Saccharomyces cerevisiae S288C: one gene and its partners. The protein of the gene in region 4 binds, or shares a complex with, the protein of the main gene of each other region. Each region holds a gene or a part of one and is shown on either strand. Other genes may lie near its edges. A codon is read from its position in the direction of its gene.

Region 1 (7,055 bases), on a different chromosome or scaffold from region 4:
AATACTATTCCGAGATTATTCATGAAGCAACTAATGATGACAATAATTCAAGACTTCTCACTGTGGTAGTGAAATTACATAAACTGGTATTGAGACTTTGGGAAACAGTACCCGAACTGATCAATGCAGTAATCGGATTTATATACCACGAATTATCTTCGGAAAACGAGCTTTTCAGAAAAGAAGCTACAAAATTAATTGGTCAAATACTTACCTCATATTCGGATTTAAATTTTGTTTCTACACATTCCGATACGTTCAAGGCATGGATTTCCAAAATTGCTGATATTAGTCCCGATGTTAGAGTAGAATGGACAGAATCAATTCCTCAAATCATTGCCACGAGAGAAGACATATCCAAAGAACTGAATCAGGCACTGGCAAAAACCTTTATTGATTCTGATCCTCGTGTACGCAGGACTTCTGTTATGATTTTTAATAAAGTTCCCGTTACTGAAATTTGGAAAAATATAACCAATAAAGCCATTTATACATCTTTACTTCATTTGGCCCGAGAAAAACATAAGGAGGTTAGGGAACTCTGCATTAACACTATGGCCAAGTTTTACTCAAATTCATTGAATGAGATCGAAAGGACATACCAAAATAAAGAAATTTGGGAAATCATAGACACCATACCATCCACTTTATACAATCTCTATTATATCAATGATTTAAACATCAATGAACAAGTCGACAGCGTAATTTTCGAATACCTACTACCGTTTGAACCAGATAACGATAAAAGAGTCCACAGACTGCTAACGGTTTTGTCACATTTTGATAAGAAGGCATTCACTTCATTTTTCGCTTTCAATGCAAGACAAATCAAAATATCCTTCGCTATATCCAAATATATTGATTTTAGTAAATTTTTGAACAATCAAGAAAGTATGAGCTCGTCTCAAGGTCCTATTGTAATGAACAAGTACAACCAAACTCTCCAGTGGTTAGCTTCTGGCCTTTCTGACTCTACGAAAGCAATCGACGCCCTCGAAACAATAAAACAATTTAACGACGAAAGAATCTTTTATTTATTAAATGCCTGTGTCACCAACGATATTCCGTTTCTTACTTTTAAAAATTGTTACAATGAATTGGTCAGTAAGTTACAAACGCCAGGACTATTTAAAAAATATAATATATCTACTGGTGCTTCCATTATGCCACGTGATATCGCCAAGGTAATACAAATTTTGCTTTTTAGAGCCTCACCAATAATTTATAATGTATCCAACATCAGTGTTTTATTGAACCTATCTAATAATTCTGACGCAAAACAATTGGATTTGAAAAGAAGAATCTTGGATGATATATCGAAAGTCAATCCCACATTATTTAAAGATCAGATTAGAACATTAAAAACCATTATCAAGGATTTGGATGATCCAGATGCAGAAAAAAATGATAACTTGTCATTGGAAGAAGCTTTAAAAACCCTTTACAAGGCTTCCAAAACATTAAAGGATCAAGTGGATTTTGACGACACGTTTTTCTTCACCAAATTATACGATTTTGCAGTTGAAAGTAAACCAGAAATAACGAAATACGCCACAAAACTTATCGCTTTATCGCCCAAAGCTGAAGAAACTCTGAAAAAGATAAAAATACGTATCCTACCTTTAGATTTGCAAAAAGACAAGTATTTTACATCTCATATTATTGTACTCATGGAAATATTTAAAAAATTCCCTCACGTCCTAAATGATGATTCCACTGATATCATATCATACCTAATTAAAGAAGTTCTATTATCAAACCAGGTCGTTGGTGATTCAAAAAAAGAAATTGACTGGGTAGAAGATTCTCTATTAAGTGACACGAAATATTCTGCAATAGGTAATAAGGTGTTTACTTTAAAGCTGTTCACCAACAAATTGAGATCAATTGCTCCGGATGTTCCACGAGATGAATTGGCAGAAAGTTTCACCGAAAAAACTATGAAGTTATTCTTTTACTTGATTGCAAGTGGTGGTGAGCTGATTTCCGAGTTTAACAAGGAGTTTTATCCCACCCCCAGTAATTATCAAACAAAATTGAGGTGTGTGGCAGGAATTCAAGTTTTAAAACTGGCCAGGATTTCTAATTTGAACAACTTTATCAAACCTTCGGACATTATTAAATTAATTAATTTGGTTGAAGATGAATCGCTGCCAGTAAGAAAAACATTTTTGGAACAACTGAAAGATTATGTTGCTAATGAACTGATTTCCATAAAGTTCCTACCACTAGTATTTTTTACTGCTTATGAACCAGATGTCGAACTGAAAACCACAACGAAGATATGGATAAACTTTACATTTGGCTTAAAATCATTTAAAAAAGGGACGATATTTGAAAGAGCTTTGCCTAGGTTGATACATGCGATTGCACATCACCCTGATATTGTGGGAGGTTTAGATTCCGAAGGAGACGCATATCTAAATGCTTTAACAACAGCGATTGATTATTTGCTGTTTTACTTTGACTCTATTGCCGCCCAAGAGAACTTCAGTTTGCTCTATTATTTATCAGAAAGGGTAAAAAACTATCAAGATAAGTTAGTTGAGGATGAAATTGATGAAGAAGAAGGACCACAAAAAGAAGAAGCGCCAAAGAAGCATAGACCTTACGGTCAGAAAATGTATATCATAGGTGAGCTGTCGCAAATGATTCTATTGAATTTAAAAGAGAAGAAAAATTGGCAACATTCAGCATATCCAGGTAAATTAAACTTACCATCAGATTTGTTCAAACCTTTTGCAACGGTTCAGGAGGCCCAGTTATCTTTCAAAACATACATACCAGAGAGCTTGACTGAAAAAATACAAAACAATATAAAAGCTAAAATCGGACGGATTCTTCACACGTCACAAACTCAAAGACAAAGGCTTCAAAAGAGGTTATTAGCTCACGAAAACAATGAATCACAAAAAAAAAAGAAGAAAGTTCATCATGCGAGATCACAGGCTGACGACGAAGAAGGTGATGGGGATCGAGAATCAGACAGTGATGATGACAGTTATTCACCGTCTAACAAAAATGAAACCAAGAAAGGGCACGAAAATATTGTGATGAAGAAATTGAGGGTCAGGAAAGAAGTTGACTACAAAGACGATGAAGATGATGACATCGAGATGACTTAGAAGGGAAAAAAACATCAATTGCTATGTTGTAAATGGAAAAAAAAGGAAAATAGGTAGATCTCTCACTTTAAGATGCGATACATATGCCTATGTATGTGTGTATATATGTAAGGAAGGTGTTCACGTTCCTGATTTATTCTTTATGTATGTACGCCGTTTCTATTCGGATTGGTTTTCGGGATTTTCTATGTTTAAAAATTTTAACAGTTCTTCCTTTGGTTTGGATTCGATAATCTTCTTTAAATATAACAGATGCTTTATTTCATCGCTGGAAAAGTCATTGAATTGTATAGAATCTAGTTCGTTCGGCACGACTACGTTAGTCAGTTCTTTCAAATCCCATAATTTTCTTAAGTTATTGCTTTTGGAAGCCGATTTATTGTTACTACTCTTGTCGTTGTTGCTAACTTGGAAATATATTAAAGAGGCTATGTCTTTGACCATATTATCCTCGCTATTGCCATTTTGGGATCCATTTGATACTAACTTATCTATTAAACTTTCTTGAAATTGAAAGAGTTTTCTTTTTTGAACCATTTTTGATTTGTAAATTTTATCAAAAAAATCATATTTAATGGAATTTTCATCTATTTGTGTAATTTTGAAATCTTGATTGAAATCATAATCTGTATGACTAGTTGTTGGTATGATTTGAATGTTCCCGTTATTTTGGTAGCCTATTTTTTGTAAAGGTTCATAATAAAGTTGGTTTTTCTTGTTTATCAATCGTTGTTTTTTCCACACCTTATAATTTACGCTATTATCTTCTTGACAATGGTGTATCTTTTTGTAAACTTTAGTTGGGGAATGTAGAGGACATTTCCATTTTGAACCTAAGTTCTTGAAAGAAGCCCTCGGTACACAATCCAAATGCCATGGAGTCTGACAATAATCACAAGTCATTATTAATCTTGAATTTTCTGGATGAGACCATGAACCTAGTCTGGTTTGATTGCATTTGTAACAAATTAAAAACTTACCTGAATTTGAATCTATATGTGTATCCGGGTTGTAAGAGTCCAATTTAGTTATGCTTTGGCCATAAGAAGTGTTAAACAATTGTCTATCAGTTAATGGAATCTTATCATTCTCATCAGAGTATTGTCCTCTCGAACCCGTTTTCACAGCAGGAAAGGTTTCTTTTATATAATTTGGTAGCTGGAACTGTTTTGGGTTGTGGGAATCGATATTGAAAAGTAATTTAGCAAAAATCTTGACGTTGTTATTTTGCTTAATGAAGTTGGATTCAATTTTTTTTAAAGTTGCCATTGAGTTATTTATGAAGATTTTAAACTTACATTCATTACAATGCCAATCACCTTTAGGCAGGTTGTTCGGATCAATTGGTGGGTCTAAGCAAAGAAAGTGAAAGGATTTGGGGCATGTATCACAGCATAAAAAAGAACCTGACTGATTACAAGCCGAACAAAAATCTTCATTCTCAAAATCTATGGTTGAATTGTTCTTGTCCCTGAAAATTTTTTCACTCGCATTCGATGTTGACTTGATGGAATTTTGGCCAAATAGTTTACTTTTTGAATCATAGGTAGCATTCGTTGAAAGTATTATTTTGGTTCTAATATTTGATAGCTTTTTATTATCGCGGTCGCTTTCAGGTTCACGGTCACGAGTTCTGTTTATTATATCGCCATTCCAACCAATAGTTGACCGTATATTGCTCTCTTCAGTCATGTTCTCAGTTAAAAACGTTTTCAAATCATTTCTGTTCAAATCCTGAAAATTTTTCGGCACCTGAGTAAATCTTTTACTGGGGACCAGCGTCATTTCTGAGTTGTTCGATTGGCCTCCCAAATTTTTTCTATAATTCCAAAGAGACTCTCGCTTGATTTTCTCAGAAGGACCTTTATTTAACGGCAATCCAGTGACAGATACCTTCGAATCTTCCGAGATGGTGGATGGCTCATTAAGTTTGATGATATTACCCTTGGAGTCCTTTTCAAGAAGTTCCTTGGGTTCTTCTTCCGGGATATTGTCTTCAACTGCAAGATTGCTATGCTCGTTCTTGAATGATCTTTCTATACCTTCAGAAGTGATGATCTTTCTCCTTTTCAAATCGTAATTTACATTCTGGGAGGATAGTCTCTTAGGACGTTTTTTCTCTTTGGAAGAAGATGAAGAGAGAGAAGAAGATGAAGGAGAAGAACTGTTGGAATGTGAGGGCGACCTAGTAGTATCTTTCTTGCTGGTGTCCATTGTATTATTATTAGCAGATGGTAATGGAAGTGTCTTTTATAGGTTTTTCTATGGTGATTATTCTCGTTTATACTTGGTATTCTTCTTCCTTCCTCTCGTGCTTGTTGCAAATGTTCAAACGCGTAGTGGGTACGTCGTTCTCTACAAAGGAATGAGGCAGATCTTGCAGCGAGCTACTAAAACTACCACTTATGGGTTAACACGATATATATGTATTTATATCTACTAATATGGTATTAAGGCTCAAAAATAACCTTGCAACAGAGAGCAATAGTATAATTTCCTACATGAGGAAGAAAGTTGCCTATTATGGTGAGCAGGTGAAATCCTAGCTGCGAACGGGAAACTTATTCGGACGAGAAACAGATGAGAAACAGATGAGAATTTTTGGGCTGGGTAAGCGAGAATTTTTATACCACTTGTGGTTCTACAAGGAGAACCAAGAGTAAAAGTTGAAAAATCTTCTTGCTCTCTGGATTACAATTCAGGAGGAAGTGTGTGCTCAGATATGGACCCAGAGTTACAAGCTATTAGGGAAGCCAGATTGGCTCAGTTGAAAAACAACAGTGGGGGTACCAACGGCGATAGAAATAGCGGTGCTAATAATGGTGGAGGTGAAAATTCCGCTCCCGTTGGTGCAGCTATTGCAAATTTCTTGGAGCCACAAGCTTTAGAAAGATTATCTCGAGTGGCCTTGGTCCGTAGAGACAGGGCCCAAGCAGTAGAGACATACTTAAAGAAACTGATTGCTACAAACAACGTCACTCATAAAATCACTGAAGCTGAAATTGTTTCAATCTTGAATGGTATCGCCAAGCAACAAAATTCACAAAATAACAGTAAGATTATCTTCGAACGGAAAGATTTCAGCGAAGATCTGAATTCATTTGACAAGCAGAATGCTAAAAATGATGACGACGAAGATGATGACGACTTCTTTGATTAGTTTATATAAACGAATAATATGTTTTTTCGTATAATGTTACATTTAGTACAAATCATATCCTTTATAGAACTAGAGTTAAAGTTACATTAATTATGTGTAGCAAAAGGACGAATAAGCAGAATATAACATATTAGCAGGTGCTTAGATTACACTCATAGAGATATGAGTAGTGACGGCATGAACAGAGATGTTTCAAACTCGAAACCAAATGTCAGATTCGCTGCTCCTCAGCGACTAAGCGTTGCTCATCCTGCCATATCATCCCCGCTGCATATGCCCATGTCGAAGTCGTCAAGAAAGCCTCTTGTAAGAACCAAAATAAGACTAGATCCTGGGCACAGTGCTCTGGACTGGCACTCTCTAACCTCCAATCCAGCGAATTATTATACAAAATTCGTTTCGCTACAGCTTATCCAGGATTTACTCGATGATCCGGTATTTCAAAAAGATAACTTCAAGTTTTCACCTTCACAACTGAAGAACCAATTGCTTGTCCAAAAGATACCCCTTTATAAAATAATGCCACCCTTAAGAATAAACAGAAAAATCGTAAAGAAGCATTGTAAAGGTGAGGACGAGTTATGGTGCGTTATAAACGGCAAAGTCTATGACATTTCTAGTTATTTGAAGTTCCATCCAGGTGGTACGGACATCTTAATAAAGCACCGTAATAGTGACGATTTGATTACATATTTTAATAAGTATCATCAATGGGTTAACTATGAAAAATTATTACAGGTTTGTTTCATTGGCGTTGTATGCGAATAAAG
Region 2 (5,904 bases), on a different chromosome or scaffold from region 4:
CATGTCTCCCTAAAGGCCGTTTCTTGAAATATCTTGGACAAAAGAAGGTAATGCTTTTATAAGTTAGAAGTGACCCCTTGGCCGAAGAATTGATGTAATTGAATTCTGAAATATTGAAAATAGTAGCTACATTGCCATCAAAACCTCCATGAGTTAAATATGAATTGTTATTAATGTAAACAAACTTAGATGTGGTCCGAAGACTGTTGAGTACACCGCCAGTTCGTAGATATCTGGAGAAGTTGGTAGACTCTTTTATAATTTTGTTCATACGTATAAATGTATAGAAAACACTGTATCTATTCAATTACTCTAAAATTTTCTCTTCTGATCTCTTCAATCACGTCTTTGTCCTTTATGGAGGGCTTGTAACAACCAGGGAATTCCTTCTCATATTCCCTGCCGTGAAGCAATTCAAAAAAAATATCCATGCAAGGGGTGGAGTGGTCTTCGATGTCTTCACCTTTCTTGGGGCACACGCATCGACATCCACATCCGAAGTTATAACCTTCATCGAAAGTGTTGAGATTTTCTTGGCTTTGTAAGGCATTCTTCGGACAATGCTGCAGCGATGAGTGTCTATAACCAATGTCTCTGAAATAATGAACGTCTTCTAGATCCAAGGTCATTCCCAACCCAATTGAATGAATTGGCGCGTCACCCCACCTTTCAGTCCAGAAACCTCCAGACTCTTCCAAAAATTTAAAATAGGCGTTATAGATCTCATTGTCGAATAAATCAACGCGGGCAATTTCAAAGTTACTCCAAAAATGACACAAATTGTAATCTTCCCCTTCAAGGGAATCCTCTAGCATTGGCACCTTAGAGCGGGCCCTTTCAACGAGATATTGTATACCTTCCAAATCTTCCTCATTATTGACTTGACCATGATTCTCTAGCAAAAAGTCTACCATCAACTTTTCTGTCAACTTTGGCTTTGCATCCCAGGGAAAATTGACCCACCTAGAAATTTCTTCATCATCTGTATCTAGAATATTATAATTAAATGTAAATAATTTCCACAACGTGCCGAGATTTTCCTTTAAACCTGCCGTTTTTTTTATAAAGCTTTTGGTTGTTCTGAACAAGTTGGGGACAGTCCAGTACAGTTCAGTTATAAGTACGGTAAACCCATATTTCTTGTTATGTTTGGCCATCTCGAAAAAGGGATCATACGAGATGTCACAAAAAAAGTCCACATCAGGTTCTATTCTCCAATACCATTCATACTTGGAAACTAATGGATGTTTATAAAAGATCCCGGAGTAAAATCGACACATCTTGTGATATGATTCCATATTACCATACATTATACCGCGATCGTTTTGGTCTTCTAATGAAGCCTTAAACTGCAATGAATTACGAACCTTAGCAGGAAACTCCCACATAATTTCATCAACAGTGCCAAACTCTACAGTGGCATTAGTTGCAGCTTGAATTTGGTCCTTAAAATGATCTGTAAAGGGGTCATCATTCAAGAAAACGTACGGATATTTGAACCACTTATTGAAATGGCCCTCTATACTTCTCATAGTTTTCAGTACGTCTTCTATTTCTTCGTTTCTCGTTAGCATAACGAAAGATGCGTTCATTTTGGAGTAAGCAGGATTTTGCAAGTACAGCTTTGTATCAGTGCAGCCCCGGAAAAATGGCTCGTCTTTGTCAGTCGAATAATCCTGTAAGGAATAAGGCAAATTATTTGGATCATGTACAATATCTTTTGCGAAAAATGGCCAGGTCCCCATACAGTAAAGTATGGCGAAGATACATCCTAAAAAGAGGAAACCATATCGTTTTTGTCGACACTTATCCAGCAAGAACCTTCTGACTTTTGGATTCAATCTTATAGCCATGCTAATTGCATCTAATTATGATGTATATTCTAGCCCTTCTTTGGTACAACTGTGCCTATAATCACAGATTGTTAGCCTGATGTATACAGTAAATTTTAGCCAATTTTTTTTTTTCGTTTTCCACTTGTATCCGAGAAAAGAAAGCAAAAACAAAAAGAGCTCACATTGAAATATAACCATCTAATGTAATATAATACAAAGTTAAAGTGGAAGGTTTGCAGCATAAAATAAATTAGTCAGACCTTAGTCTGAAAGGAGCCGGAGGCTGACCTGTTAATTCTCTGATCAAGGAAATATCCTCTGTGACCTCATCTGGTTTCAAAGACTGTAAAGGTGGAGCTGTTTTGGTGGAATATCGTTGAGCACCACGGTTTTTTTTCTTTTCATTCCCATTAGCATTGTCTTTGGGGTTCTTTTCGCCAAACAAAAATGCATATAGATCAGTACCTTCATTTATACCTTGTAGAAAATCTGAGTCAGAGTTCATGCCTGACTTGTAGGTTAGGTTGTTGAAATGGGGGAATTGCGACCCTTGTCTAGAACCATGGCCATTACTTCCAGAACCATTACCAGTTTGAAAATCAGATTCATCTTGATTGTTGTTGTTACCTCTCGTGTCTTTAGAAGCATTCCTTCTCCTTAGCGTTCTTCTATCGTTTCCAGCTCCCGTGTCAGTAGCACTTTCGTTTGCTGTATCTCTTCCATATTCGTTGGACGAAGAATCCCAACCACTTACTGTGTGACTTCTCGTGTTCTTCTGGTATTGCGGTCTGCTATAATTCATGGCATAGGAGTGCACATTGGCCACATCCATTAGTAACCTCTCCTCCTGTAATTTCTTTATTTTTTGCTCTATAGACGAATACAGTCTTTCTTTGCATAATTTAATGAGTTTCTCGTGTTCAGCCTTAGCCTTTTCAATATCTTCTTGAAATTCGATACCGGAACGAGAAACACGGTACTCTTCAAACAGGCGCAACCTGACTAACTCTAGATCTCTTTCTTCCTCCAAATCTCGTACTTGGCGGGCATATTGGCCATTATCACCTTGATGCAGAGAAGTTAAATCCGTTTGCAATGCTGTCAGTCTATCTTTATATTGATTATCTCTTTCTGAGTAAAAATTTTGATAAATCTTATTAACTTTAGATTCGATATTAAATCTTCTTTTGTCCTTGCGGGACAAGTCCTTGTTACTAACCTTTTGAATAGCCATCAATCTTGAAGACAATGCACACTGAGCTCTACAGTTTCTCTTGTTCTCTTAAAGCTTTTCCAAGGGTTCATTTTAGCTGAAAAATTGTTTGCGTTTTTTCTTCCTGAAATCTCAAGCGAAATGATCAATACATAAGCTAAATTAAATAATGAGAAAAAAGATACCTGAAAACATAATTAAGGCATAGAAGAAAAAGATTTGATAAAAGATAAATTTTCAGTTCAATAAAAAGGTTTACATACATCTAATTTTTTTTTTTGACGCAAATTTTTTTGATTACAGACAAGAGCTATGTTTTATTTCGTAGCTAGCTTAGTTTTCGAATGCGCCACCCATTTGTCATGGCGTGCGATGACTTCTGGGATTATCATCTCTTCAATGCTATGGTGTTTTTCATCCAAACGTACCCAATCTCCCTTTCTGTTTTCAGGGGATACGAAAATGACCTGTTTGTTTCTTGTCTGTAAAAGGTTTCCGATAACCAGTTGATGGTTGTATCTATCCAGGGCTTGTGTACATTTGTAAAGCAGCATGGATTCATCAGTTTCTAATTTGAACGAAACGATCATCGCTTGAGTGGCCCATGATTCCACTAATCTTCTCAAAAACTTAGGGACAGGGTCAAGATTCACAATCAGTTTACCATCAGGCGTAGTCCTAGTTGTACCTTCAGTGTCATTATTTGCTCCCATCTTACCGTTGTCTCCTGATTGAATCTTGTGCTGAGGTAGTCTTGAATATGGAACAAAAAAATCACTGACAGCAGCAGCTAAATAAAACAAGCAACCACTATTATTCAATAGCTTGGCTATACTTTTCAGTGACCATAAGTATTGGTTGACCGTGGTGAATGGTAGTAAAAGTAGTTTCTCCTCTTTCTCCATATACTTGTCATAAAGCTTTTTGTTCTTCAAAACATTCTCAGCAAATTCAGGTTTGATTTTACCTTCAGAATCAATGTAGTCCAAGAATAAAGTATTAATGCTATGGGAGAAGGACCTATTATACGGAGTTAATGAGAATTCCCTATGTAAGAAAATAACACTATATCCGTTCGCTAAGAACTGTTCAGCACTCGATGCACCACGAGTACCTGCAGAAAAATTATCGATAAAACGTACTGTATTGTTTTCCAATGGAACAGTAGTACCACCAGAGGTGATAAGAACTATTTTGTTCCTTTTCAGGGAATACTGCAAATCAATAAACTCTTTAGCGTCCTTAATCAATTCATCGATATAGGCAGGTTTAGGGTTAGTTTTGAAATATTGCTCTTCTTCAGTAGTGTAGGCAACGGGAAAGAGCTCTTCCTTGATTGTACGATCAATTGCATGACTTATTTCAGTAACAGACGTATGAATTTGAGGTCTGTTGAGCACGGGTAGAGGTGGCATTGCTATAGTATGAAGAAAAAAAGGAGTGTCTGCTGCTAATCTACACAGTTTATGACAACTAATAAAAGCGTTGTGTGCGTAATTGTCTTAGCCTCTTATACAGATGTCCTGTTGATGACAATGCCTTTAAAAAAAAAAAAAAAACGTTAACAATAGGTCACTCCTCCAGTTTTTGTCGTTTGGCGAATTCGGGTCATCGAATTCTTCCCTTGCCAATAAAGTTGGTGGAAAATACCCAAAACATCGCCTACATATCAAATCCGCAGATTTCAGGCACGCAATTTAGAGCCTACCATCTGTTCATAGTTAGGTTAGGCCATAGGTGGTCATCGTCGCCTCTACTTTCTTAGCATAATCAGGTTTTTTTCTTGATTTTTTTATCATAAATTGTAACTCCGATTTAAGTAGAAGTGAAAAAAAAAATACCCTGTTAATTGTCACAGCATCACTTCTTCCTGTTACTTTCAAAGCTGTAAAGTGTTAGCATCTTTGTGCAAGAAGTAATAAGAATTTAATTGTTAACAGGGTTTGTAGCACTGGTATACGTTTTTCCATATCATGGAACATGTTGTATCTCAAAATGAGATATGTCAGTATGACAATACGTCACCCTGAACGTTCATAAAACACATATGAAACAACCTTATAACAAAACGAACAACATGAGACAAAACCCGACCTTCCCTAGCTGAACTACCCAAAGTATAAATGCCTGAACAATTAGTTTAGATCCGAGATTCCGCGCTTCCACCACTTAGTATGATTCATATTTTATATAATATATAAGATAAGTAACATTCCGTGAATTAATCTGATAAACTGTTTTGACAACTGGTTACTTCCCTAAGACTGTTTATATTAGGATTGTCAAGACACTCCGGTATTACTCGAGCCCGTAATACAACACCTGGTAGCGTTAAAGGTTACTAATTGTTCAAACGAACCATCGAAAAGCCGAACCTAGCTACACCACACCCCAGTATGAGCTTTATGGATCAAATCCCAGGAGGAGGAAATTATCCAAAACTCCCAGTAGAATGCCTTCCTAACTTCCCGATCCAACCATCTTTGACCTTCAGAGGTAGAAATGACTCGCATAAACTGAAAAACTTTATCTCCGAAATAATGCTAAACATGTCTATGATATCTTGGCCGAATGATGCCAGTCGTATTGTGTACTGCAGAAGACATTTATTAAACCCCGCTGCTCAGTGGGCTAATGATTTTGTACAAGAACAAGGTATACTTGAAATAACATTCGACACATTCATACAAGGATTATATCAACATTTCTATAAGCCACCAGATATCAATAAAATCTTTAATGCAATCACGCAACTTTCCGAAGCTAAACTTGGTATTGAGCGTCTCAACCAACGATTCAGAAAGATTTGGGACAGAATGCCACCAGACTTCATGACCGAAAAAGCTGCCATAATGA
Region 3 (6,089 bases), on a different chromosome or scaffold from region 4:
GATGTAAAAAAGACCTTTCATGTAAATACCTGTTCGTACTTGTTTTTTCATATCCTTCGACTAATAATAAACTTTGAATGATGTAGGTTTTAGAAGGTGGTTGAAAATCAGCATGAGAAAAAATTATCCATCTTAGAGGACCACAAATTGGGTCACTAATCTGTTCACGATACTCGCTTCCCAAAAAACTTGCGCCAGTCATAATTAGTGCCAAATTCAAAATTGCAGGCTGTTTATCAACGTGAAAAGAGGGTTTGTGAAGCAGACCGTATTGTGGATGGAAGTTCAACCAGAAGGATTTTAACGATTTGTGTATAGATTCAATAGAGACATAGCGTAATTCTGGAACAAATGAAAACATTTCTTGACATTTTTCTTTTGATATCTTATACTTTGTTAAGGGATCCGGATGGAAAAATGACGGGACACTTTTCATAGAGTGACGCAACTGTTCCTTGTAGTTCAGAGAGGAATTGTTTCCTACTCCTGAATCTTTAGATGATCTCCGTTTTAGCTCGTTGATATTAAGCTTCTGACTGGAAAGATTGTCCTTCACTGAAGTACTGGGGTTATCGTTGAACTTCGGTTGTGCTTTGGGAATTTTAATGTTATCTTGTGGTAACTCAAACATAACTGGAGGATTCTGGAACCCTTCGTCTTGTTGAACAGGTTTTTCATTAGGTGGGATTGTATTCTTGTCAGAAAATGTATCTTCAATACTTACTTGCGGGGCTTCAGAAAGTTCTTGCATGAAAGATTGTAATGGGTCGCTGTTCAAAAAATTTGTAGAAAAAAGGTCCTGCATAACTGACAAATTAGCACCGCTAGAGGAAGATGTTAATGGATCTCCAAATGGATTCTGGGGTGGTAATTGTTGTTGTTGTTGTTGTTGCTGTTGCTGTTGCTGTTGCTGTTGGGCAAGCTTTTGCTGCTGAAAGTACTGTTCCTGTTGTTGATCCTGGGTAAGTGGCTGGAGTGGCTGCTGATATGAACTACTTGCAAAATTTCTGTCTTGATATCGTTGCTGCTGCACGGCTGGATTGATATTCATATTTTGGTCATTGCCATTACCGTTGTTATTCGCTGCATCCACTTCAAAACCATTAACGCCTGTACGGTTATCAAATATCAAATTAAAAAATTGATTACCATTTTGACCGTTGTTCCTTATTCGAGGATCATACGATGGAAAAGTAGGACTTGCTTGCTGTGGATGCATTTGTTGCTGCAACATAGGTTGTTGCAATGGTGCCCGCAGTTGCTGCGGGAATTGAAGTTGCTGCAGTTGTTGAATTTGTTGTGGTTGTTGTGATTGCTGAACCTGTTGAGGTTGTTGAGCCTGTTGAAGAAAAGGACGAAATTTTGATTCTTGTGTGATAGATGGTGGTGGATTCACAGAATTTTTTATTAAGTTAATCGTAGAAGTTCCACTTTGCGTAGAAAGGGGTACTTCACTGGGATTATATGGTGCATTTTTGGAGAAGTCCTTATTTGATGAGGAAATCTGGTCCTTGCTTGGCCGACTTAATCTGTTTTTCACCTTTGAATGCCTCTTTTCATGTCTGATCAGTAAATCTTTCCTTACAAACGTTTTATTGCAAGGCGCATTTGTAGTAGGAAGCACGTAAGAACAAACATATATCTCTTTCGGCCAGTGGTTTAGCTTGTGTCTTGATAAATGTTCCTGACGTGAGAAAGTTTTATTACATTCGGGATGTGGACACCTAAATCTTTCAGCAGGAGAAGAGCTTGAATTTGGTGATAAATCGTTATCATTTTCCCTTTTCCGGAGCCTGCCAGCCAACTCTTTGCCGTGCATTTTTGCCAATATTAAGAGCTAGCTTCACTGCTTTATTGGTCACTTTTTATAATTATAAACATAGTAGATGAGTCCTAGAATCTCAATACAGCCTTTAAAACTATTAAAGAAGCTGTTCGCAACTCACAAAAAAAATAAAAAAATAAAGCAGAACGAAAAAAAAAAAAAACAAAAAAAACAGTTAACTATTCTAATTACTTAGAATCTTTAAAAGTCTTACTGTAATTCGATCAGTGGAGAAGGAAAGCGCACATGTGATATCTCGCAATTTCTTCTCAAACTACCTTGACAGTAATTTTTCTTAAAAACGATTGGCTCCTACATGAAATCCACGAAAAAGCACGGTAGTCTTGTTAGAGGACACTGATATACGAGGAAAGAATTGATAAAGCGGAAGGTCTTTGGAAACAATTCAAGACCGATGACATAACTTTTAAGAGGTAGGTGGGGAAGCCCATATGGAGAATTTTAAAAGCAATAGGGTGCTCGCTTCCAAGCAAATTAGTACTTTTTTTTTTTTTTTAGCAGGAGAATAAAGCTTCAAGCTAATGCACTAGAGTTCGAGGTGCATCATTTCAGTTTTTTTTGCTAGGGCATAATTGATCAGCCTGTTAAACTCATTGCATAGTCAGTAAATTTACAATCCCCGAAAATAATGGTTCCCTTAAATAAGCGAGTTAAGGACTTTTTTTTTTTTTTACAGCAGTAGACCAACCTGTACATGTTTCATAGTCAAGTAATAGCCTGACGAATATCAAACGTTTCCTCTTTTTCATTCCTTTCCTTCAAATGCCTTGGGTTGAAAGGATAGACGTGTATTTAATGCAAGCTCTATCTATAATGAGTGTTATTACAATTGTTATGCTTCTGCATTGAGCGATGAATAAATATAAACAACTCCTTTTCGAACAACTTGTAATTATCCTACGCTTTTGCCTGAGGTCCTTTTTAGCCATTGACAACAAGCAAGTGTCTTTCTGTATGAAGTAAACCCTGCATAAAGTTGTTTTTTGCTGCGTCAGAGGGTTAATGACTTCGAAAGACCCTTTTCTCATATAAGACGCGCCACAGAAGAATGCGCACGACAACGGACTATTTTAGATTATATAATGGCGCGTGTGATGCTGCTTTAATCATGTTGCATAGACCATGCAATTACACTAAAAATATAAAACAAGGAGCCCTGGACAGAACTTGGTAGTGTGCAAACGAGTAAGTGAAGATGATAGTACATTATATACGAAGCTCTTAGTAAGCTCATACTAGATGCGAAACGATGGATACGTCAGAAAAATAACAAAAATAAAATATAATCATTAATGATGTTTTAACTCGACAAGCCCCTTTCAGAGCTGCCATTACCCTAAGAACCTTGCAAAGAGAATAAACTTGAATTTCGTAAAGTGCCACGAACAGTGTCCATATTCTTACACGAGATATTCTGTGAAGAGTTATTGCATAAATACGGAAGAACTAAATACTAGAAATAATCCCAAGCTAGAATATAAACGTCTCACATACCTAAAGCCACTCCTTCGTATTGGCTAGACGTATTTACATACAGAGCATCGTCACTTCTATTTGGATCCTTGTCATTGAAGTATTCGTCCACATGCATCAACAACCAAACCAAGAAGTCTTCGGTTTGTTTGATTAAAAGCTGACAGCTTTGTAGATCCATTGTAGTAGACGAGATCAGCTCTGGTAAAACACTTATCAACCTTAACAGATGGATAGCCCCATAAATTCTAATTGGTACTAGTGGCTTTTGATCCTTCGATGATTTTTTCAGAAGTTCGTCATATTGCAGCCGTTCCAACCTATATAAAAGCATATTACCCAGGCACTTGTCAAAATACAACTTGAGACCGGCACAGTATTCGCTCAACTGTGACTGGGACCCTGGCGATTCCAATTCTTGACTCACTTCATGTTCGTATTTATTCAGTACCATCTCTACCGTCACATCAGCGGGTAGTCTGCAAATTTTTTTGTCCTTCGTTACGTATTCCCAATCGTCGACTAACACGCTCTTCAATTTTATGGGAATTTGAAGGGAAATCTTGGGGGTTGGATAGCCGGCAATATGATGTAGCATATTTGGCGATAGCGAAGAAGATCTTCTGCGGTCATCATTCCCATTTTGGTCGGATGACGAGCGCAAAGAGCTGCCAGGATGGAGGGAATTAGCGGAACTTCTTCCGCTTTTCCTGCCGCTCACTGAAGATGTTAAAAAACTCTGTGAAGTGCTCTTACTTATACTAGCATTCGAGCGGCTGTCTCCCTTTCTTTTTCCACCATTACTAGGCCCTCCCAGACTAGTGGAGAGCTTCTTTTTTTTCTGCTGTTCCAGTAACGATTTCTTAGCTTCTTTCGCCTCGTTCGCCAGTCTTTTTTTCATGGCAATATTCTCTTCATTGTAGGCCCGTATCCTATCATATCCAACCCACTCATCCCAACTCGACTTCCAGCCTTGGTAATGTATGAAAAAACACTTCCCATTAATGATCTCTTCTGGAATGCTTTCATCTTCTCCCAGCTTTTGTGGCTTTATTTCCTTAGTTGCTTGTGAACTACCACCTGGCTTGTCATTAGGAATGCTGGTATACATTTTCGAAGATGGATCCCATATTTTCAAGATCTTTGCTTCATACATAAGAGGACCATGGAATGCCAGACACCGCCCACCGAGCGCAAATTCCTGCTCCAAATCAACCATTATACGTTCTTCAATAGGGTAAATCCAGTGACGAGGCCTCACAGATGCTAATGCAAAATGCTATATGCTTTTAACGACTGTTTTGCAATATACCCTTTTACGTTTCTGGTCGGGATTTCGGATGCATCTTTATTTTCATCTTTCGTGAAATGCGATATGTGGCGATCGCCGGAGGAACGGCCCCCAATCTTCGCCACCTTTTTCTATCAGCATCGGTTGGTTAGTAATCTCGAATCACATGGTACCTCTTTCTTCGAGGAGTGGTAGCTCCTGTACGCTGTAGCGGTAGTGAAAAGGCAATATATCGGAGTTGGTGAAGTGAGTTAAATCTCTACCTTGCGTTTTTGATAAGTAAAAAGCAAGCACAGCTTAAAGGATAAACAGGATTTTATTGAAGCAATTTTTAATTATAATACATTGTGGATAGAACGAAAACAGAGACGTGATAGATGAACGTTTCAAAAATACTTGTGTCGCCCACGGTCACGACAAATGTTTTACGCATATTTGCTCCCAGGCTACCTCAAATCGGTGCTTCTTTGTTAGTTCAAAAAAAATGGGCCTTAAGATCAAAGAAGTTCTACCGTTTTTATTCTGAAAAGAATAGCGGTGAAATGCCTCCTAAGAAGGAAGCTGATAGCTCTGGAAAGGCATCCAATAAATCCACGATATCTTCAATCGACAATTCGCAACCACCACCTCCATCGAACACTAATGATAAAACCAAACAAGCGAACGTAGCTGTGTCACATGCTATGCTAGCAACTAGAGAACAAGAGGCCAATAAAGACTTAACGAGTCCTGATGCACAAGCAGCCTTTTACAAACTTCTCTTACAATCAAACTACCCGCAATACGTGGTCTCTAGGTTTGAGACCCCCGGTATTGCGTCATCGCCTGAATGCATGGAACTGTACATGGAGGCCCTGCAGAGGATAGGCAGACACTCGGAGGCTGATGCCGTTAGACAAAACCTACTGACAGCCAGCTCTGCTGGCGCAGTTAACCCATCATTGGCGTCATCTTCATCAAACCAGTCAGGTTATCATGGTAACTTTCCATCGATGTATTCTCCGCTTTATGGATCTCGCAAAGAGCCACTACATGTTGTCGTATCTGAATCAACTTTTACTGTTGTATCGAGATGGGTAAAGTGGCTGCTTGTTTTCGGTATCTTAACCTACTCTTTTTCTGAAGGTTTTAAATACATCACAGAAAATACAACGCTACTAAAGTCGTCAGAAGTAGCCGACAAATCAGTTGATGTAGCTAAGACAAATGTTAAATTTGATGATGTCTGCGGTTGTGATGAGGCCCGTGCGGAATTGGAAGAAATTGTTGATTTCCTGAAAGATCCAACTAAGTACGAGTCCTTGGGTGGTAAACTACCAAAGGGTGTACTGTTGACTGGACCTCCTGGTACAGGTAAAACTTTGTTGGCTAGGGCCACTGCCGGAGAGGCTGGTGTAGATTTTTTCTTTATGTCAGGTTCTGAATTTGATGAAGTTTACGTCGGTGTTGGTGCTAAACGTATCCGTGATTTGTTTGCTC
Region 4 (9,477 bases):
GGATGAGTATGGAGACTGATTGTTTGTTAAAATCTTATAACCCGTATGTGTTTCCAAGGTGGTTTACAGAAGCCTCAGGCTCTCACCTACGGGTTAAAATCTGACTATGGTACAAGCACGTTCGCCTCATTCATATTTTCCATAGAAAGCGGACTCAAATTTTGAAACCGCATTTTAGAAAGAAAAACTCGATAGCATGTTAAATATTTTAAAGAATACCATAATTCGTTAAAAATACAAAAGTGTACTGATATCGTACTTCCTCTAGGGTAGCACTACCTTGTTTAGGCCAGAAATTAAGTAACAAACTTTTCTTGTTTGCTTCGAGTATACTAAAAAACAGACACTCGGGGTTAATAGGCGGTCTTCCGTTGTTGAGCTCTTTTTTTTTTAGAAATCCAACATCTCTTCGAATAGTAGATTAGAAATAGTATTTATGTCAGCGTTCCTTGAGCCAAATGTACTAAATTTCCCGTCGTTTTAATTATGCTGCATGTTGGAGAAGAATCATTCCAAATGTCAACTTTATTAGAAAGGACTAAGAGTGTGCAAGAGCTGAAGAAGAGAGCTGCAGGGAAAACATCCGCAAATCCCGCAGAGGTCGCTAAAGCTAAAAAAGTACTAAGAAGGCTATATAGTTGGGATGAAATTCCGGAATGGCAAAGAGACAATGATTTTATTTTACATGGATACGTGAAAGAAACTAGTAGCTTCATTGAAACTTTTAAAAGTTTGTTTTATTTGCATAATGAAAGTGTCAATATTTATTCACATTTAATTCCTGCTCTCGGGTTCTTCACTGTACTGTTGCTAGATAAATCTACTATCAAAGTGTTTGCAACAACTACATGGCTAGATCATATGGTAATCGACCTCTTTTATTCGGGGGCGTTTGCATGTTTAATATTGAGTAGCTCCTTTCATTGTCTAAAGAGTCACTCCTTAAGAATTGCTACCTTAGGAAATAAGTTGGACTACCTTGGTATTTGTATATTGATTGTTACGTCAATGGTCAGTATTTTGTACTACGGCTATTTTGAGAAATTTTCCCTATTTTGCCTATTTGCGCTTATTACCGTTAGCTTTGGGATCGCGTGTAGTATTGTGTCACTAAAAGATAAGTTTCGGAAAAGAGAGTGGAGACCTTACAGAGCTGGGCTATTTGTTTGTTTTGGTTTATCCTCAATTATTCCAATATTCAGCGGCCTTTACTGCTATAGTTTTTCAGAAATTTGGACCCAAATTCAGCTCTTTTGGGTATTACTTGGGGGTGTCCTATATATAATTGGCGCTGTTCTTTATGGAATGCGGTTTCCTGAAAAGATTTGCCCCGGTAAATTTGATATTTGGGGTCATTCTCACCAACTTTTCCATTTTCTAGTTGTTATTGCGGCATTGTGCCACTTGAGAGGTTTATTAAATAGTTATGAGTTAGTCCATATAAAGATGGAGAACGGGATTGTCTCCTAGATATTTGGAAAAAACGTAGGATTTATATAGAAAGTAGTTTTAAAGTTAAAATAATAAAATGGTTCTTATATGTGAGAAGAGAATAAAGAAAAAGGCCCTTACAATAATATGTTCAAATATAGAAAAGAAATTCCCAGATAGAAGGGAAGCAGGATTTGTGCACTTTCTCATATGAAATATACACGACTTTAGCGTCTCAGAGGAACATTTTTCTTACTAAGAGCTCTCAATTTAAAATACGGCTTATTTCCACTATTTATTGGCTGTCTCATGTATATTTTTATTATCCTGTTAAACCTACCTCTCTTACTACGCGCTTATGAAAAATAGCGGATCTGAGATACGATAATTATCGTCCCTACATTGTGGTGATGGTGTATAACATGAATTTTAAAAACTGAGTTGATCGTTAAACCATGCCAGTAAAGTTAAGGTGGCCTTGGTTAGGAATTGCTATACCAACGTTTCTGATTTCATTTATAGGCTATGGTGCACACTACTTTATTTTATCCAATTTCTTGTCAGTTCCGAAACAAATAACATTTGAGTTCTGTTTGTCAATGATATGGCTCTCCTATTACTTGGCCATCTGCACAAATCCAGGAAGGCCTTTGCCCAACTACAAACCACCCCCTGATATCTGGCGGAATTTCTGTAAGAAGTGCCAAAGTTATAAGCCAGAACGTTCACATCATTGTAAAACCTGCAATCAATGCGTCCTAATGATGGATCATCATTGTCCGTGGACGATGAATTGCGTCGGCTTTGCAAACTATCCGCATTTCCTTAGATTCTTATTTTGGATCATAGTGACGACTAGTGTTTTATTTTGCATACAAGCTAAGCGGATATATTTTATTTGGCAACAAAGGCACTTGCCTGGCTACTTCTTCAAAAAATCAGAACTGATTTTCTTAACAATATCGAGTCCTTTAAATTCTTTTGTCCTACTAACGATAACAATTCTTTTCCTACGATGTTTATTCAATCAAATCTTGAATGGAAGATCTCAAATTGAGTCGTGGGATATGGATCGGCTAGAATCTTTGTTCAACTCCGGAAGATTAACTCAGAAATTAATTGATAATACTTGGAGAATATATCCAGAGTCGAGGTCGTTTCAAAATAAAAAGGATGCTGAGGAACACTTGACAAAAAAAAGGCCACGTTTTGATGAACTTGTAAATTTCCCTTACGATTTTGATTTGTACACTAATGCATTACTGTACCTTGGTCCCATTCATTTATGGTTATGGCCATATGGTGTTCCTACGGGAGATGGGAACAATTTTCCAAAAAACGGTATTTCAAAATATGAGGCTAACTCCTCATTGGAAGACCACATCCTTTCACTTCCCTGGCCACCAGATGGAGGTAAAACAAACACCGTCTTCAATCATGGCAGCTCAACAATAGAGATGCGTAATGAAAGTGGCGAACAGCTAATAAGGACCAGACTTCCTCAAAATGGCAGACATGCTTCTCGTGAGAAGTGGTACAACGACTGGGGTGAATCACTAGACGATTTTGGAGTGGATGTTGATATGGAATAGAATACTCATTCATGGGAATATCAAGTATATGTATGTATAAACTGTCCCTTATAAATAGTGTCCTTTCGATTACATACTATGCTAATGACGTGTAAAAAGATTCATGCACCAGTGTATGAGTACACAAATATAACCACTGCATGTTATCACTTCTTCCTTTATGGAAAGATCGATGTGTCTTAAAAAGCTTCAAAAACACTTAGAATTTTAAAATTACAATGTTATATCGTTGACATTAATTAAAGGTACACATCAGAAGAAAGACCCTGTCGTACTAAAGATTTTTGTTCTAAATCTAGTTAAAACTACTTATTGAATCTTAGCCCCCTTGTCTGAAGATTCAGTATTCCCAGTCGTTTCTATATTATCATCTTGTGGTACAGTAGTAATGGATGCAGGCAGTACACTTGCAGTAGAGCTGTCCAAATTATCCGACTGCTCCTGTTTCGTAATTTTACCTTTTTCGGTTTCACTCTCTATTCCCTGGTTTCCAGCACTCGTCTTTGCTATGCTGTCTTTTAGGTTCTCCCATTTTTTTTGCATACTTAATTTTTGAGCCTCATCTAAATTATTTCTCAAACCAACTGCACAGTCTAGAAATTTTGATATCAACTCCTTCTTCTGAGAAACCATTCCTTTTTGAGTATTATCATTAGCAATAGTAGGATATTTGTTAGTAGCCTTACGGGTAAAAACATCGTAAGACCCGTTTTCAATATGCAGTTGGTAGGTTATAGGCTGGATCTTAATTTTCAATGTCGATACAGAGATGCCTTCGGGGGAAAACTCCTCATCTACCTCTGTTCCATCAATATCTTGTCCAAATTCGATGAGCCTTTCCAAAAATGGTATCTTCAGTTTCTCGTGCGGAATGCCTTCTGTTGGATGTGGCAGAGCATACGATGTTACATAATATTTCCATTTATCTTCGTCTGCCTTTGGTTCCTTTAGTGTCAAATCATCAAGTGCAATATATTGAATGGAAACATGCAGAGTTCTTTTATCAAACTCTATTCTAAACATATTTTCTGTGTTGGACATATGTGAGCGCACCTGCAAGCGATAGATAATTTGGTCCTTCGCACTCGTGGTGGAGGCATTTCTATCTTTAACGAACAAAGCCATTATTTCCGCAGTTTTAGCGTCAGTCATCAAGGTATGAGCATGCTTTACCAACGATTGGGTGACTTTATCAATTGTATAGAGTTTAAACGCTTTGTTATTGTAAGCTTGCCGCAAACTCTCTTCAAACCACTGATGTTCAAGATCCCCATTAATCAACCTTCTACTCAGTCTTAAAACCTGTTTGTACGCGTCTTCACCAACAAAATCTAGTCCCATTTCGGAAAGTTGACTCGATAATAAATCTAGATCTTTGGCAAAAGTAACTGTCGACCTTGTGTTGATTTCCTTTGTGACCCTTTCATTCATTTGCTTAATTTCCAAAAGCCGCTCATAAATCGTTGTCCAATGACGGAAAAATATGTAAATATTCGTATTAGCGAATAGATTAAAAATACTGCGATTTTGGATAATACCCTGAGAGTTTGCTTCCTCCACTAAATTCCCAGTTAGCCACGGATTTTTAGCTTCTTCATCGATGAGCTCTTCCTCCTCAATGGTATTAGGTTCTTCTTCGGGTGGTTCAGAGAGCTGGGGAACTTTGCCATCTTCATCATTAGAACGCTTTAGCTTTTGATATCTGCTCCTGTGTAAAATATCAAGTAAACTCATTTCTTGTTGATAGGGCCTCTTCCTTGATGCAATAGAACTGCCATCGTCAGATCCGCTAGATTCTGACACGTTTTGCTTATGGGAGTACAACGATTCTTCGATTTTTTCGAAAGAAATAGAAAAAAACAAAGAGATGAAGTATTTTAGTAAATCTTTCAATCTTTCTTTATCGGGATTAGAATAGGCTGTGGTATGGGTTATAAAAGTGTCAGCCAAACACAAGATATCATAGAAAATGTTTTTATCAGGGAAATCAAAATCTAACTGGCTCTTTGGTTTAGGAGTTAACCAGTGAATTTTTTTGTTTGTTTGATCAACTTTGATGCTGCTAATCTCTGATATCAACTGCTTTGTAGTTAATAATTTCTTGTCAGCCTGTTTAAATGTTAAGCCTAAATGATCTAATGACTTGAAAAAAACCTTCTGTTCTAACTCCCTCCAAACTTTATTCCATTCACGTTGAGCTCTTCTCCATTCTTCGTCTTTTTGCTTTAACCTTTTCAGAACGACTGGGGCTGTCACTGCAGGGTGCTCATGCAAAGCATCAATAATCTCGAACCCCCTTTCCTTATCATAAACTTTCCTTATCACTTTTTTATAAATAGTCATTGAAGTATGGCCAAGACCTGGAGGCAGTTTAAAATTGGCTTTTTCATTCTCAGTCATGTTCTCGATCTTATTTACAATTGTTTCCAAACATTGAATAGTTCTTAAATTTGATTCAATGTAAAAATCATACTCATGTCTTTCCTCTTCGATCTTGAATAGTGTTTCCTCATACTGGTTTTTACGATGAGCAATAAATCCCGAATCTTCGGAAGCCCATACAGGATGTCCAACCCATTCATCGTTCAAGACTTCCCAACACATATCATCCCTACCTGAGCATGGCATGAAAGTGTCACTTTTTGGTAGCCTCTTGTAACTTGGGCCAAATGCCTCACATAAATCTAAATCCAATCTATGTTTTTCATGAACAATATTCTCGATACATTTGGTTTTTTCTTGGTAGCCAACAAAGTTTTTGAACCACGTAAATAGTTCTTTATTGGAACCCAAGTAGAAATCTACCTTTTCCACTAAATCGTCAAGATCAAGTATATCTTGAGAGTACAAATTTAAAATTTTCAAAAACTCAGTGTATAAATGTTTATTGCCGATATACCTCTTGGCCTTTTCGAAGAAAGTGACTTCCTCATTAAGCGATATATTGTTTTCGATGGGCTCAGTGGGTTCAGGGACCACAGGCACAATGCTAGGATCTAAATCAATTTCCGGTCTAACAGGGATATCACCATACTGCGTATTTGCTATAGGACTAATACTTTGCGGGTGCTGCTGCTGATGTTGTATACTAGAAGGAGCGTACTGTTCAGTGAGAGACGTTCTTAGATCTGATAGAGGTGGATTTTCATTCGCTATCCCTTGATGTACCATATTTGGCCCGTGTTGAACGATCGATGGTAAGGGCATGAAGTGGGGTGGTTGCATGTGCTGTTGATCCTGATAGGCTTCATGTACGGTCGAACCGTTTGTTGGAGGCGAGAAGCTTCCTATAGGAGGCAAGTTTTGCTGTGGAATACCTCGGTTAGAAGGATGGCCGTAATAGCCCGAAGCTGGATACAAGAATTGCTGTTGCTGCTTCTGTTGTTCCACCTGTGCCTGTGCCTGAGCCTGAGCTTGTGCCTGTGCATGCATTTGGGCCTCATGTTGTTGTTGAGCATGTTGCTGAGCATGTTGCACCTGCTGATTGGCAGAAGCTGAAGAGTCCGGCAAGAATTTCTTGAAATCTTCTAGTAAATCAGGAGCATTTTGGAAAAGATGCGTCACTTGTGCGTAGACTTCGTTTATTGGCTTTTGCTCTCGCTGATAAGTTTGTAGTATTTCCAGAAAATGCTTGTAAATATCAGGTTGGTCGGCAAATCTAGTTTTAATTTTATTAACGTAGCTTATGGCTTGACTAAATTCGACATCAACGTTTTTCTTAGCATCTTCTTGAGGCACTAAAGATTGACTTTGTGGGATTTGGCGATGTGCAGGCATTTCAGGTTGTTGAATTGAAGGTAAACCAGAAGAAGTAGCTAAAAGAGGCAAAGATTGTTGTTGGTCTTGGTTTTGTTCCGATTGATACACACTCGAAGGCACCATTGGCACATTGGAGGGCTGTTGAACACCATTTCCATCGCTTTCTGGAAAAGAACCAAGTTCCTGTGCATCCGTTGTACCTCTACCAGATGGACTGATGTTATTGTTTACTGTCGTAGTACCCATTGGTGTAGTAACTCTAATGGGGTCGTCCGGATTAGAGGAGCATTCGATTCTATAGCCTTGGGGTAGAAAAGTATTGAACCCTTGAATCAAAATTGGATAACCTCTGAACAAAGTGGATACTCTTTCAATAACGCCCGGTGTGTCTATTGCCTGAGATTTAAAGTCCTTCATAATATCTAAAAATAAATTATAGATATCCGGACGCGAACTAAATTGAAATTTGACCTGTTCGAGGTAAGATAGGGCATCCTTCACGTTTAGAGGTCTGTAGTCAGCATCTTCATCGTGAGAATTTTCGTTGTTATTATTGTCATCGTTAGCATCTGCATGGTTGCTGCTAGGGTCAGGGGCATCAGCAGGCTGCACACCAGCGGGAACTTCCTTGCAATCTTGAGGCCGTTGCGTCGCCTTTTCTTCTTCCTGAAGACCATTATAACTTTTTGGTTCCTCTGTATGAACAGGAGCTTTTATCGGTAATGGATTGTCAAATCTCGACAAAGAAAAACTGGCGGCTCCCACTGTGGGGAGGGGAGCTGGACCAGCATTCATAAGCGAAGCGTTTATAGAGGGAGAAGAGGACGAAGATTTAGGGCGAGGGTGATACTCGTGGGGCTGTTTCAATGCTGAATCAGTTGCAATTGAGGGCATAGCATTTGAATGTGGGGGAGGATAACCTAATATGTGAGCAGCATGAGAAGTTAGAGCCTGTTGGCCATTGGAATCTCTTCTATCTTCCTCCTTAGTACTCAAGGCAGATAGCGAGGGTAAAGTAATCCGTTGCTGCTGTTGAACAAAACCGGGCTTATTTCCCTGGAGGGACGGTTCTTTTTCGTTTCTTTCGTTGGAACCCGTAGCGTCATTTGAAGTAGCCACATCGTTTGATTGCGAATTCGAATTATGCCAAACCTGTGACATTTTTGTACAATGTATAACTTGTTTCTTAGATATTTTGTCCTTTTCCAAATAACCTCAAACGAACACAACAAAAGGGTAAAGAGACTATACTGAAAGCGGTCAATAGCGTAGCCTGTTGTGGAGGGAGGGAAGTAACAAAGAATATGTGGTACGTGAATGAGCTGATTAGTTAGGTACGGTGCCTCGAATATTAGCAATGCTGGTGCGAAAAAGGGAAGACAAATGTAATAGGGAAGGGGAGTAACCGTTGTTTTGCAAATCACGTTTGCTGAAGAACTGCAAAATGAAGGCGACTTTTTTGCGAATGGAAAAAAATCACTAGAAAATCCGATATCATTACCCGTACTGGTTTATTCTACGTTACACGGGTAACCCCGCAGTGTGTGCCACACTCTGGGCAGCGCGTAACAACAGTAGTTACAAGACTGGAGTAGAAGATAGATTTTTTAAATTATAAACAGAATTTACAGACTACTGGAGAGGGATCACGGTAAGCCTCGTCGGTAAGCCTCGTCGGTAAGCCTCGTCGGTAGATCCGTGTCATGTCATGGATAATGCTGCTATCCGAGTTCAAAAAACTTGCAAGCTCAATATTATCATTACCCGGACTTAATAAAGTGGAAGTGTCCGCGAAAATTCTAGGTTCACTGCTTTGGCACACACAAGAGGTCCGTTAAAAGAAGAGCGAGAGAACTGAGCCGTGCAGCCTAAATAGATAGCTACGTAGCCACCAAACCAGATACATTTGGACACAACTGCATCATGAATGCTCCAGACAGATTCGAACTGTTCCTTCTGGGTGAAGGGGAATCCAAGCTAAAGATTGACCCCGACACCAAAGCCCCCAACGCAGTAGTGATAACGTTTGAGAAGGAGGACCACACGTTGGGAAACCTGATTCGTGCAGAACTTCTGAACGACAGAAAAGTGCTGTTTGCCGCTTACAAGGTTGAGCATCCCTTCTTCGCTCGTTTCAAGCTGAGAATACAGACCACCGAGGGCTACGACCCGAAGGATGCCTTGAAAAACGCCTGTAACAGCATCATTAACAAGCTTGGCGCCCTGAAGACAAATTTCGAAACCGAGTGGAACCTGCAAACTCTAGCCGCCGACGACGCATTTTGATATATAGGAGTTTAATACTATAGCCATAAAATCTAAACAGAATGGAAACGGACATACACATAATATACGCTCATATATATTTATACATAACTTCAATGTCTTGAACACGTAAATTTTAGTGTGAGAAACCTTTTTCACTCCGGGTAATACCTGCTGTAGTCTTCAAAAAAAAAAAAAAAAAAGAAAAAAAACCAGCCATGGAAAGCTCTTTATTTTTTTACTTTACGGCTTTTTTCCCTTTTCTTATATGATCGATGCACGTAAAGAACAACTGTATTTTTTTGTTTCAACACTAACACGAGCGCAATATTCTTTTTTGTTTTCTCTGTTACTCTAATTACCTGAGTCCTATTCTTATAGTATTAAAACAGCAAATAAAAAAAATCTAAAGGGAGGGCAGAGCTCGAAA

The links.
Region 1: the proteins of SIN3 (region 4) and RCO1 are in contact, whole or in part, in a cryo-EM structure (PDB 8HXX), measured with the Saccharomyces cerevisiae proteins. Residues at the interface, in NP_014639.1 of Saccharomyces cerevisiae: Ser661 (codon at 5,963), Leu662 (codon at 5,960), Glu665 (codon at 5,951), Val666 (codon at 5,948), Tyr675 (codon at 5,921), Ile676 (codon at 5,918), Leu681 (codon at 5,903), Thr683 (codon at 5,897), Glu684 (codon at 5,894), Lys687 (codon at 5,885), Ile688 (codon at 5,882), Asn690 (codon at 5,876), Leu691 (codon at 5,873), Gln694 (codon at 5,864), Asp695 (codon at 5,861), Ile696 (codon at 5,858), Leu697 (codon at 5,855), Asp701 (codon at 5,843), Lys705 (codon at 5,831), Asp707 (codon at 5,825), Phe708 (codon at 5,822), Tyr709 (codon at 5,819), Gly711 (codon at 5,813), Ser712 (codon at 5,810), Glu749 (codon at 5,699), Gly769 (codon at 5,639), Ser790 (codon at 5,576), Glu791 (codon at 5,573), Asp792 (codon at 5,570), Ser793 (codon at 5,567); in NP_013791.1 of Saccharomyces cerevisiae: Lys82 (codon at 5,096), Leu84 (codon at 5,090), Leu85 (codon at 5,087), Ile93 (codon at 5,063), Ile94 (codon at 5,060), Lys95 (codon at 5,057), Leu96 (codon at 5,054), Glu98 (codon at 5,048), Pro99 (codon at 5,045), Ser100 (codon at 5,042), Thr101 (codon at 5,039), Ser103 (codon at 5,033), Glu104 (codon at 5,030), Lys107 (codon at 5,021), Ser109 (codon at 5,015), Val110 (codon at 5,012), Thr111 (codon at 5,009), Leu113 (codon at 5,003), Pro114 (codon at 5,000), Leu115 (codon at 4,997), Asn116 (codon at 4,994), Lys117 (codon at 4,991), Gly118 (codon at 4,988), Pro119 (codon at 4,985), Ile123 (codon at 4,973), Lys124 (codon at 4,970), Glu126 (codon at 4,964), Ser127 (codon at 4,961), Leu128 (codon at 4,958), Trp129 (codon at 4,955).
Region 2: the proteins of SIN3 (region 4) and SDS3 are in contact, whole or in part, in a cryo-EM structure (PDB 8HPO), measured with the Saccharomyces cerevisiae proteins. Residues at the interface, in NP_014639.1 of Saccharomyces cerevisiae: Ser661 (codon at 5,963), Leu662 (codon at 5,960), Asn663 (codon at 5,957), Val666 (codon at 5,948), Lys809 (codon at 5,519), Glu813 (codon at 5,507), Glu816 (codon at 5,498), Tyr817 (codon at 5,495), Tyr820 (codon at 5,486), Ile821 (codon at 5,483), Leu825 (codon at 5,471), Arg826 (codon at 5,468), Ile828 (codon at 5,462), Gln829 (codon at 5,459), Cys830 (codon at 5,456), Glu832 (codon at 5,450), Thr833 (codon at 5,447), Asn836 (codon at 5,438), His857 (codon at 5,375), Lys869 (codon at 5,339), Val870 (codon at 5,336), Tyr871 (codon at 5,333), Arg875 (codon at 5,321), Glu878 (codon at 5,312), Ile879 (codon at 5,309), Ala882 (codon at 5,300), His886 (codon at 5,288), Val889 (codon at 5,279), Thr890 (codon at 5,276), Val893 (codon at 5,267); in NP_012182.1 of Saccharomyces cerevisiae: Arg18 (codon at 3,018), Ile21 (codon at 3,009), Glu22 (codon at 3,006), Val25 (codon at 2,997), Leu75 (codon at 2,847), Glu76 (codon at 2,844), Val78 (codon at 2,838), Arg79 (codon at 2,835), Leu82 (codon at 2,826), Phe83 (codon at 2,823), Tyr86 (codon at 2,814), Arg90 (codon at 2,802), Ile93 (codon at 2,793), Glu94 (codon at 2,790), Ser289 (codon at 2,205), Lys291 (codon at 2,199), Thr292 (codon at 2,196), Ala293 (codon at 2,193), Pro294 (codon at 2,190), Pro295 (codon at 2,187), Leu296 (codon at 2,184), Gln297 (codon at 2,181), Ser298 (codon at 2,178), Leu299 (codon at 2,175), Pro301 (codon at 2,169), Glu303 (codon at 2,163), Val304 (codon at 2,160), Thr305 (codon at 2,157), Asp307 (codon at 2,151), Ile308 (codon at 2,148).
Region 3: the proteins of SIN3 (region 4) and EAF3 are in contact, whole or in part, in a cryo-EM structure (PDB 8KC7), measured with the Saccharomyces cerevisiae proteins. Residues at the interface, in NP_014639.1 of Saccharomyces cerevisiae: Phe751 (codon at 5,693), Lys756 (codon at 5,678), Arg757 (codon at 5,675), Leu758 (codon at 5,672), Pro759 (codon at 5,669), Trp782 (codon at 5,600), His785 (codon at 5,591), Val787 (codon at 5,585), Trp788 (codon at 5,582), Asp792 (codon at 5,570); in NP_015348.1 of Saccharomyces cerevisiae: Asp242 (codon at 3,815), Lys243 (codon at 3,812), Pro379 (codon at 3,404), Asn380 (codon at 3,401), Arg381 (codon at 3,398), Ser382 (codon at 3,395), Asp383 (codon at 3,392), Val388 (codon at 3,377), Asn389 (codon at 3,374), Thr390 (codon at 3,371), Ser391 (codon at 3,368), Ser392 (codon at 3,365), Glu395 (codon at 3,356).

What each region holds. Positions count from the first base shown.
Region 1 is NC_001145.3:412,266-419,320, reverse strand, and holds RCO1 (Rco1p), read right to left. Parts: upstream 5,340-7,055; coding exon 3,285-5,339; downstream 1-3,284. Other genes in the region: sister chromatid cohesion factor PDS5, read left to right, coding at 1-3,125; YMR075C-A (uncharacterized protein), read left to right, coding at 3,268-3,633; SDD2 (Sdd2p), read left to right, coding at 5,848-6,285; IRC21 (Irc21p), read left to right, coding at 6,448-7,053. UniProt on the Saccharomyces cerevisiae protein: Catalytic component of the RPD3C(S) histone deacetylase complex responsible for the deacetylation of lysine residues on the N-terminal part of the core histones (H2A, H2B, H3 and H4).
Region 2 is NC_001141.2:200,191-206,094, forward strand, and holds SDS3 (Sds3p), read right to left. Parts: upstream 3,070-5,904; coding exon 2,086-3,069; downstream 1-2,085. Other genes in the region: YIL086C (uncharacterized protein), read right to left, coding at 1-271; KTR7 (putative mannosyltransferase), read right to left, coding at 300-1,853; phosphopantothenate--cysteine ligase CAB2, read right to left, coding at 3,366-4,463. UniProt on the Saccharomyces cerevisiae protein: Component of the RPD3C(L) histone deacetylase complex (HDAC) responsible for the deacetylation of lysine residues on the N-terminal part of the core histones (H2A, H2B, H3 and H4).
Region 3 is NC_001148.4:605,494-611,582, forward strand, and holds EAF3 (Eaf3p), read right to left. Parts: upstream 4,539-6,089; coding exon 3,333-4,538; downstream 1-3,332. Other genes in the region: SDD4 (Sdd4p), read right to left, coding at 1-1,819; i-AAA protease YME1, read left to right, coding at 4,988-6,089. UniProt on the Saccharomyces cerevisiae protein: Component of the NuA4 histone acetyltransferase complex which is involved in transcriptional activation of selected genes principally by acetylation of nucleosomal histone H4 and H2A. The NuA4 complex is also involved in DNA repair.
Region 4 is NC_001147.6:315,404-324,880, reverse strand, and holds SIN3 (transcriptional regulator SIN3), read right to left. Parts: upstream 7,944-9,477; coding exon 3,333-7,943; downstream 1-3,332. Other genes in the region: IZH2 (PAQR-type receptor), read left to right, coding at 517-1,470; palmitoyltransferase PFA4, read left to right, coding at 1,887-3,023; DNA-directed RNA polymerase II core subunit RPB11, read left to right, coding at 8,706-9,068. UniProt on the Saccharomyces cerevisiae protein: Catalytic component of the RPD3 histone deacetylase complexes RPD3C(L) and RPD3C(S) responsible for the deacetylation of lysine residues on the N-terminal part of the core histones (H2A, H2B, H3 and H4).